Macaca mulatta: one gene and its partner. The protein of the gene in region 1 purifies or fractionates together with the protein of each later gene. This does not show direct contact. Links are inferred from orthologs where the notes say so. Each region holds a gene or a part of one and is shown in the gene's direction. Other genes may lie near its edges.

Region 1 (4,249 bases):
AGGCGTTAGGAGGGGAGCTGTCATTTTTTAACATCTCAGTGAAGACCTAACCAGGCCTTGAATAGCTAATATTAGCTGTGATTTCTTTCAGTGATAAGTCATGCTTTTAGGTTTTTTGCTTTTGTCTGGTTGAATGAGAAAGTCCCTACTTTTACACCCAATTTTTAAGGAAATTAAACTTCTTAAACTATATTTATAGTTTCCACAATAGAGATCAAGTGATTTTTATAGCTCTAACTCCCCAGCCCCCATGGATGGGCACTTTGATAAGCATACTGCTTTACCATTCATACCAGAGCAATTATTGCATCATTTCTAAACTTTTAATTCCAAGAGAGCATTCTATCTTAACACATAACTTTAGGTGAATATTTGTTATGCAAGAAGTACACTAAAATTATCTGCAGTGTAAAATGACAGATAAAAGTTGTGTATGGTACCTAAGCATTTAGATGACGGCATTTTCTCCCTGTTGAGTTTGTTAATGTTCACAAAAGCAAACACTGTGATTAAGGTTAATGTTTTAATTTTTATTAATATTCTCTTTCACCTACTTGTACCCTCCAAAACATATATTTTAAAATAATACAGGAATGGGCATTATGTCCTGTTTTAAATCTATTTCTGTTTATTTCTTTACATTCATTTAATAACTTTTTTTCTAAAAATTTTTTAAGCAATAAGAAACCCAAATTTTGAGCATGTTTTAGCTCTTAATATTTGAAGAAAAACCATCCATCTACCAAAATGGATTCTTTGCCTTTTATAGCTTAAGGCTGTAATGAAGACAATGCATCATTTTTGGAATAATTGCTTGAATTACTACTCTCTGTGAATGGCCCACTTGGGCTGATATCACTGGTAGAAACTGAAGGTTTCTTCCCCAATTCTTAGTTATATTTTGCATATATCAGGAGCTATAGCACTATGATAAAGTTCCTCTAAATGTAAAACCTGCATATTTAATGAAAAGAGAATTGATGATTAAAATCAAACTAGAGTCTATACATGGGAAGTCTGTGTACAATTTGGAAACTCCTGTTTATGTACAGCTTCATGCTCAGCCCTTCCAGCCAAGAGCATCGAACCAGTCTCCTGCTCGTACAGAAAAGCATTTACACACTTAGAGATGATGCTCAGCCAATCCATATGAGGAACCTAGCCAAGGGAGAAGCATTCATCCTGGGTAGGTGGGAATAAATTGCAAAATCATGACAGCATCACCATCGTACCAGAACGATTCCCTGCAAGATTGTCTTTAGCATCTGGTGATGGCCATAGCTTCCTGAAGAAAAACATTTGGATCTTAGCAACACTGGGTATGCTGGCTTGATATACAATAAATCACTTGCTTTATTCTAAAAAGTATTTCCAGATATACCTACTGCCCATGATGGTTAGAATTAAAATGAAACAAGGCATATATGATATTCAGCAAGCATTCAATATGCACTTACTATTATACCCATTTTTGTTTATTACGTTAACTACTTCTATTCACTGCTAGGTAAAAATTGAAAGTAGGTAACATTTTACGTCATATTTTTTCTTCTACACCTTTTTCCTAGAGTACTAAAGTTAATGAATACCATGAGAATATATTTGTAAAATTTTTAGTCGCTTATTATAAGTTTATTTTCTCAGCTAACTGTTTTTAGTTGTCATTAAGCAAATGACATTCTTTTAGAAGCCATTTTTTAAAAAATATTGCTTATAAGCCTTCTTGGGGTAATAAGTGAGAGTGAACAACTAGTCGGAAAGAATTTGGATATAATTGATTTTATGCCTTAAATCTAAACCACTTTTTAAAAATGAGATTAGGAGTGCTGTCCCACTTCCAAAGTTTGTAGAATTGTTCAGAAAAGGAGAGAAAAAACACAGCCTGGTAAGTTGCAACTTGAAATTTTCTTGGTTTTTTTGGATTTGGGGTGTGCCCTGTGCCTACCCTTTTTTAATTTAGGAAGTGATTAGAAATCTTTATCAATGCTAATCATTGCTGGCTAAATGTGATTTTACTTTTTGTCCACTTTAGTTGAAATGGATAGTCTTTCTGAGCTATCCCAGCAAGGCGCCAATCATGTCAATTTTGGACAGCAACCAGTTCCAGGGAACACAGCCGAGCAGCCTCCATCCCCTGCGCAGCTCTCCCATGGCAGCCAGCCCTCTGTCCGGACCCCTCTTCCAAACCTGCACCCTGGGCTCGTATCAACGCCTATCAGTCCTCAGTTGGTCAACCAGCAGCTGGTGATGGCTCAGCTGCTGAACCAGCAGTATGCAGTGAATAGACTTTTAGCCCAGCAGTCCTTAAACCAACAATACTTGAACCACCCTCCCCCTGTCAGTAGATCTATGAATAAGCCTTTGGAGCAACAGGTTTCGACCAACACAGAGGTGTCTTCCGAAATCTACCAGTGGGTACGCGATGAACTGAAACGAGCAGGAATCTCCCAGGCAGTATTTGCACGTGTGGCTTTTAACAGAACTCAGGTCAGTTGTGTTTGGTAAATGGTTCTGTGTTGTCTCCCCTTTTCTCTCTCTTTTGTCCCATCTATAACTGAAGTTTATTATTTTACTTCTGTACTAACATTTTTTCTCTCTCTCCATGTGATCATATTACCTATTCCTAGTGGAGCCTCAATTTTATCACGCCTTTTCCTATGATACACTTCTGAATCAAGGGAAACCTATGTGCAGATTGATCCCAATTCAGGGGCTTTGAAAGACTAATTAAATGTCAAACATGTTTTAAACTGGCATTGCTTGTGCTTTTATATAATGGAATCTTAAACTATAGTAGATAAGAAAAGTTTCATGACTCGGTCAAGGCCATTGGCAGGATTCCAGGCTTCTAGCCTATCGTCTTTCCCATGTATGTTATGTTACTGCCCATATCAAACTTAGGTATATAAATGTTCCCTATTAAAGTTCCACAGCAGTGTTGTCATCATCGTCGTCGTCGTTGTTAACACCTTGGAAGCAATAATCCACTTAATTCTAAGCAATCATTTTGAAAAAATACTATATGATGTATTAACATAATATGTTGGTAAGCTTTGTGCTCTCCCTCATGCTGTTGTCTTCCAAACTTCATTGTCTAGACCAGGCATCAGCAAACTTTATTCTGTTATCGACTAGATAGTAAATATTTTAGGTTTTGAAACACATAAAATCTCAGTTACACTGTAGAGTAATAAAGCAGCCACAGACAATAAATGAATGGCACCGGGTATGGTAGTATCTCGGTAAAACTATTTACAAAACAGGCCATGGAGTAAGTGTGGCTGGCAGGCCTTAGTTTGCAGACCCATTTGTAGAGACCTCACTGCCTGCTTATTGATACCCCTAATGTGCACAACTTTGTCTTCCTGGCCCAATTCCTGTGAAGATACTGTCTATCAGCGTGGAAGATGTTTAAGAGGGTCATGGGAAAAAAGTGATGTATATGAGAGGTGACAAGATAAAGATATTTGAGAAGCCCTAAACGCATTCTATTGAACTGTGAATGAGAATAATTTTTTTCTTTGTTTTGAAACTAGTATGATACATTATATATATGGTGTTTATTTTTGGCCCAGGTATACTAAAACAAAACAAAACAAAAAACCAAACCAAAACAAACAAACAAACAAAAAAAAGAAAAACCGCATAACTTTAATTAGAATGAGGACATTATGCCTTTTCAACTTTTTTGTTTTACCGCTGTTCTTTCTTTTGTCAATTTATCTTATTTTTTGGCCTGACTCCCATTTTCCTTTCATATTTAAGTTACTTTGTTTATTATGTGATTATGATTATAAGAATAAAATTCTGGTACAGAAATAATCTAGTATTAATTCCTAGTTGGCAGAGTTTCCATACCTAGGAGAATCCCAGCTGTGACTTATTTTTGGCTTGCCTTAACTAGATGGGGAGTTAGGAGACCTGACAAAGCCTCTAATTCAGTGTTTGTTTTCAGTTGATTCATCTTTTTTTTTTTTTTTTTTTGTACGTTTGTCTATTTTTAAAAGGGCAGTTGCACAAGGCTATGTCTCAGGTTAAAGTTGTGTGGTTTTACCTAATTCCATATCTTTATAGCTTAAGAAACTGTGTTCATTATTAGCTGGTAAAATTAGTATGACACCTATATTCAGTTGGGGGATAATTATTGAAAATGAATGAAAAGTCAGCCCTCTAAGTATTCCTGTTTCTGGTAGCATTCTTTATTTTAGTAAATATTGTAAGTACTAATAATTCTCCATACTAGGCCAAA
Region 2 (4,778 bases), on another chromosome or scaffold:
AGCTACTCGAGAGGCTGAGGAAGGAGAATCGCTTGAACCCAGGAGGCACAGGTTGCAGTGAGCTGAGATTGCGTCACTGCACTCCAGCCTGGGCGACAAAAGCGAAATTCCATCTAAAAAAATAAAAATAGGCCGGGCGCGGTGGCTCACGCCTGTAATCCCAGCACTTTGGAAGGCCGAGGCGGGCGGATCACAAGGTCAGCAGATCGAGACCATGGTGAAACCCCGTCTCTACTAAAAATAGAAAAAAAAAATTAGCCGGGCGCAGTGGCGGGCGCCTGTAGTCCCAGCTACTCGGGAGGCTGAGGCCGGAGAATGGCGTGAACCCGGGAGGCGGAGCTTGCAGTGAGCCGAGATTGCACCACAGCACTCCAGCCTGGGCGACAGAGCGAGACTCCGTCTCAAAAAAAAAAATAATAAATAACATTATTTGGAATTTTCAATGCGAAATGTGTCTATTCTCCCTGGCTTGTTAATTTATTATTTATTTATATCGGCATGGACCCATAGATGTTTATTTTACACTTTGGGTTATAATCAGCGCTACTTTACTTATTCTGTTGTCATTCCGGTGTAGTGTTTTAACATTATTGAGATATAACTCATACAATAAAACGCACCACTTTAAGTGCATAATTAGATGAGCTTTAAATACTTCCAGTTGGGGAACCCCCAGCCCTACCACAGGTGCCCCCAGTGTCCAGGGACCAGAACTAAATTCCTCAGGCAAGGGACTCAGGGAATGATATCAACTTCCCATTTCGTATCTAGAAAAGCCCAAGTTCCCCACTGGGTGTAAACAGAGTCGCTAAAGGGGCTGGGCACTGTGGCTCAGCCTGTAATCCCAGCACTTTGGGAGGCTGAGGCGGGTAGATCATCTGAGGTCAAGAGTTCAAGACCAGCCTGGACCAGCCTGGACAACAACGCCATCTCTACAAAAAATTACAAAAATTAGCCGGGTGTGGTGGTGAGCGCATGTAATTCCAGTTACTTGGGAGGCTGAAGCAGGAGAATCACTTGAATCCGGGAGGCGGAGGTTGCAGTGAGCCGAGATCACCCCACTGCACTCCAGCCTGGGCGACAAGTGCGGAACTCTGTCTCAAAAAAAAAAAAAAAAAAAAAAAATAGAGTCGCTAAGGGGCAAAAACATATGTACATCAGCAGTTATTTTTCTCTGCAGTCAGCAGCTCGGGAACTTTGCTAAGGGTGCCGGGGAGGGGTCGAGCGCAAAGGTGCAGGCGTGACACAGCTAGACCCGCCCAGCTCCTGCGGAGCCCTGGCCAGGCCCAGAAGGACCAGAGGGATGGAGGTTGAGCCCTTCCCATTTCTTCCGCTGTACCCCTCGCGTTCTCCGCCCGCGCTCCCTCAGTTTCACACCCTTTCAGCAGCTCCCTTCCTTGGGACCACGCGGACTCCCCTGGGGGTCGCGCGGGCTCAGAGGCCTCCCCGCGTTGTCTGGGCGGGGACTGAGAGTCAGCGGACCAGCGGGCGGGCGGGCGGCGCTGCGGGGCGGGCCGAGCTGGGGGCGGGCGGGGGCCGGAGCCCTGGCCTAGGTCCCAGGGGGCGGTGCCGCGGCGCGAACGGCCCGGGTCCCTCCCAGGCCGGAGCAGAATCGGCGGCGCCCTGGGCGGCCGCGGAGCCATGGACAGCAGTGGTCCCTTCAGCTGCCCCATCTGCCTAGAGCCGCTCCGGGAGCCGGTGACGCTGCCCTGCGGCCACAACTTCTGTCTTGCCTGCTTGGGCGCACTCTGGCCGCATCGTGGCGCGAGTGGCGCCGGCGGACCCGGAGGCGCGGCCCGCTGCCCGCTGTGCCAGGAGCCCTTCCCCGACGGCCTTCAGCTCCGCAAGAACCACACGCTGTCCGAGCTGCTGCAGCTCCGCCAGGGCTCGGGCCCCGGGCCCGGCCCCGGCCCCGGCCCGGCCCCTGCTCCGGCTCCGGAGCCCTCGGTGCCCAGCGCGCCGCCCAGCGCCCCGGAGCCGTCGGCCCCCTGCGCGCCCGAGCCGTGGTCCGCGGGCGAAGAGCCAGTGCGCTGCGACGCGTGCCCCGAGGGCGCGGCCCTGCCTGCCGCGCTGTCCTGCCTCTCCTGCCTCGCCTCCTTTTGCCCCGCGCACCTGGGCCCGCACGAGCGCAGCCCCGCGCTCCGCGGACACCGCCTGGTGCCGCCGCTGCGCCGGCTAGAGGAGAGCCTGTGCCCGCGCCACCTGCGGCCGCTCGAGCGCTACTGCCGCGCGGAGCGCGTGTGTCTGTGCGAGGCCTGCGCCGCCCAGGAGCACCGCGGCCACGAGCTGGTGCCGCTGGAGCAGGAGCGCGCGCTTCAGGAGGTGGGCTCCGGGGGCACACTCGGGTGAGCCGGGGCTGGTGACTGACCGCGCGCGAGCGGGCCGAGGACCTTGGACCCCTCAGCCTTCCCGGGTTGGGTCTTAATTTCCTCCTCTAACCTGAGGATCTTTGCGGTCCCTTCCAGCCTTGACAAGGTCATCTGCTCGCGGGATGGAGATGGGAAGGGAGGAGGGACGTGAGAGAACGGGACAAGGACGCGAAGAGGGGGCAGGGGACCTGAAGCCGGGCCGGGGTCTATGGGGGCGTAGGCGGGAGGGAACCGGGTCAGGCCCGCGGGGTTCCGGTAGCGTGGCTCCTGCTGCCGCCCAAGGGCTCACCCGGTCTCAGCTCAGATTTGCCCTGGGCTAAGTCTGCGGCTTTCGATGGGTGTGGCAGGCGGCAGGAGGGCGGCCGGGCACACAGATTCTCTGTCCAGCTGTTCCAGGGGCCAGTGGTGGGAGCATGTGCGCCGCGGCCTCTACCTCCCGCCCCCAGTTTCCTTTGGCCTCCAGCCCGGTCTTGGCGCCTCTGGCCAAGGGATTTTCCGTCTCTCCTGCCTGGAGCAGTGACTCATAAGACCTAGGGGATTTGCCCGGAATCCCCTTTTTTCAGGCCTGGACTGTGGATGCAGGTTCTTTGGGAACAGTGATCCCCAGGGCAGCTTAATGCTTCCTTGTGCAGTCACCCCCAATCCCCGCACCTAACTCGCTTACTCTGTGCCTCTTCCCCGCTGGAGGAAGTTCTCAAATTCATCTGAGTAACACTGAGACCAGCGGAAGGCCCTGTACTGGGCCTCCTGTCAGAGACGGGAGGCAGACGCCCAGTCAGCCTGCGGGCCCCCAGGCGTTCGGGAAAGGCACCAGCCTGGGCTGCAGGCACCTCTGGCATATTATGGGACATCGTGGCCACTCCAGTCCCACCCAATGCACAGATACCACTCCCCGGTCACCCCCTTCTCTCCCCTGGCAAGGCCTGGGACCCCAGGGCAGGGCTGTGGCCTCTGCCAGACCTCACACTCATGGAGGGTGTTGTCCACAGGCTGAGCAGCCGAAAGTCTTGAGCGCCGTGGAGGACCGCATGGACGAACTGGGTGCTGGCATTGCACAGTCCAGGCGCACAGTGGCCCTCATCAAGGTCAGACACCCCTCCCCAGCCTCCATCCCTGTCCTCCCCTGCAGTGGGCATACTCCTGGCAGTGTATGCTTTCAGCATGGCACAATTCACTCCAAACAAGCCATGCGCATACCCACTGAGCACAAGTGTCCCCTGACCTGGCCCAGATGCAGGGTAGGCTCAGGCTGGCCCCTCTGTCCTCTCAAGAGGGTGAGTGGGAAGCTGGGGTCAGGGAAGGAGGGAGCCACAGTCCAGGACGGTTATTTGCCCTCATTGCCCCCGCTACTGTCATCCTGTGCAGAGTGCAGCCGTGGCGGAGCGGGAGAGGGTGAGCCGGCTGTTTGCAGAGGCTGCGGCTGCCCTGCAGGGCTTCCAGACCCAGGTGCTGGCCTTCATCGAGGAGGGGGAAGCTGCTATGCTGGGCCGCTCCCAGGGTGACCTGCGGCGACAGGAGGAACAGCGCAGCCGCCTGAGCCGAGCCCGCCAGAATCTCAGCCAGGTCCCCGAAGCCGACTCAGTCAGCTTCCTGCAGGTGAGGGCCGCTCTGGGGGCCACAGAAGGAACAGAAGCTGGGACAGGTCGGGGTGGAGGGAGGAGGAGACAGTGGGTGCATGACCTCCTGGCAGAGCCGCCTCCACCCCCAGCAAGGAGGAGCCATGGCCAGCAGAGTTTTAATGGGCATTTGTCTGGCACAGGAGCTGCTGGCACTAAGGCTGGCCCTGGAGGAGGGGTGTGGCCCTGGCCCTGGACCCCCGAGGGAGCTCAGCTTCACCAAATCTTCCCAAGCTGTCCGCGCAGTGAGAGACGTACTGGCCGTGGCCTGCGCCAACCAGTGGGAGCAGCTGAGGGGGCCGGGTGGCAACGAGGACGGGCCACAGAAGCTGGATTCGGAAGGTGGGCACCGCCCCACTCCCCCGATGACTCACCCTCTCCCAGCCTCTCGCACAGGCCCCCAGGCCTGGTGCCCATCCAGAAGTGGAGGAGGAAAATTGTGCCTGGCACAGGGAGGAGCCCAAATCCTGCCAGTGACTAGAGCTGCCACCCTGTGGGGATCAATCAGCCCCTTGGACCTGGGGTAGAGGGGGCTTCTCCTAGCCCACCCTCTAGCTCCAGAGGGGCTGTGGCCCGGGAAGCACGTGGGGCAAGGAGCAGAACACAGGCAACGGGCATGCGTGTGAGCACAGCGTGCCACGTCTGGGTGGTGCTTGCTCCCTGGTGGCTCTGGACTCTGGGAAGAAGTGAAGGGGGAAGGGATTGTAGTCACAGGTTCGGAGGGGGGCAGTCTGGGGGCATTCTCACCATTATCTCCTCTTCTGCAGCTGATGCTGAGCCCCAGGACCCCGAT

What was found. The genes of interacting proteins can lie anywhere in the genome.
Region 2: the proteins of SATB1 (region 1) and TRIM47 purify together in Homo sapiens (affinity purification with mass spectrometry; 4 studies listed by BioGRID and IntAct, with this or other methods). This does not show direct contact. The link is inferred for Macaca mulatta from reciprocal best matches to the Homo sapiens genes SATB1 and TRIM47.

The regions. Positions count from the first base shown.
Region 1 is NC_133407.1:30,131,802-30,136,050, forward strand, and holds part of SATB1 (DNA-binding protein SATB1), read left to right. Parts: intron 1-2,032; coding exon 2,033-2,487; intron 2,488-4,249. UniProt on the Homo sapiens protein: Crucial silencing factor contributing to the initiation of X inactivation mediated by Xist RNA that occurs during embryogenesis and in lymphoma.
Region 2 is NC_133421.1:85,585,140-85,589,917, reverse strand, and holds the start of TRIM47 (E3 ubiquitin-protein ligase TRIM47), read left to right. Parts: upstream 1-1,608; 5' UTR 1,609-1,641; coding exon 1,642-2,322; exon of another isoform or gene 2,323-2,345; intron 2,346-3,358; coding exon 3,359-3,454; intron 3,455-3,734; coding exon 3,735-3,965; intron 3,966-4,128; coding exon 4,129-4,327; intron 4,328-4,752; coding exon 4,753-4,778. UniProt on the Homo sapiens protein: E3 ubiquitin-protein ligase that mediates the ubiquitination and proteasomal degradation of CYLD.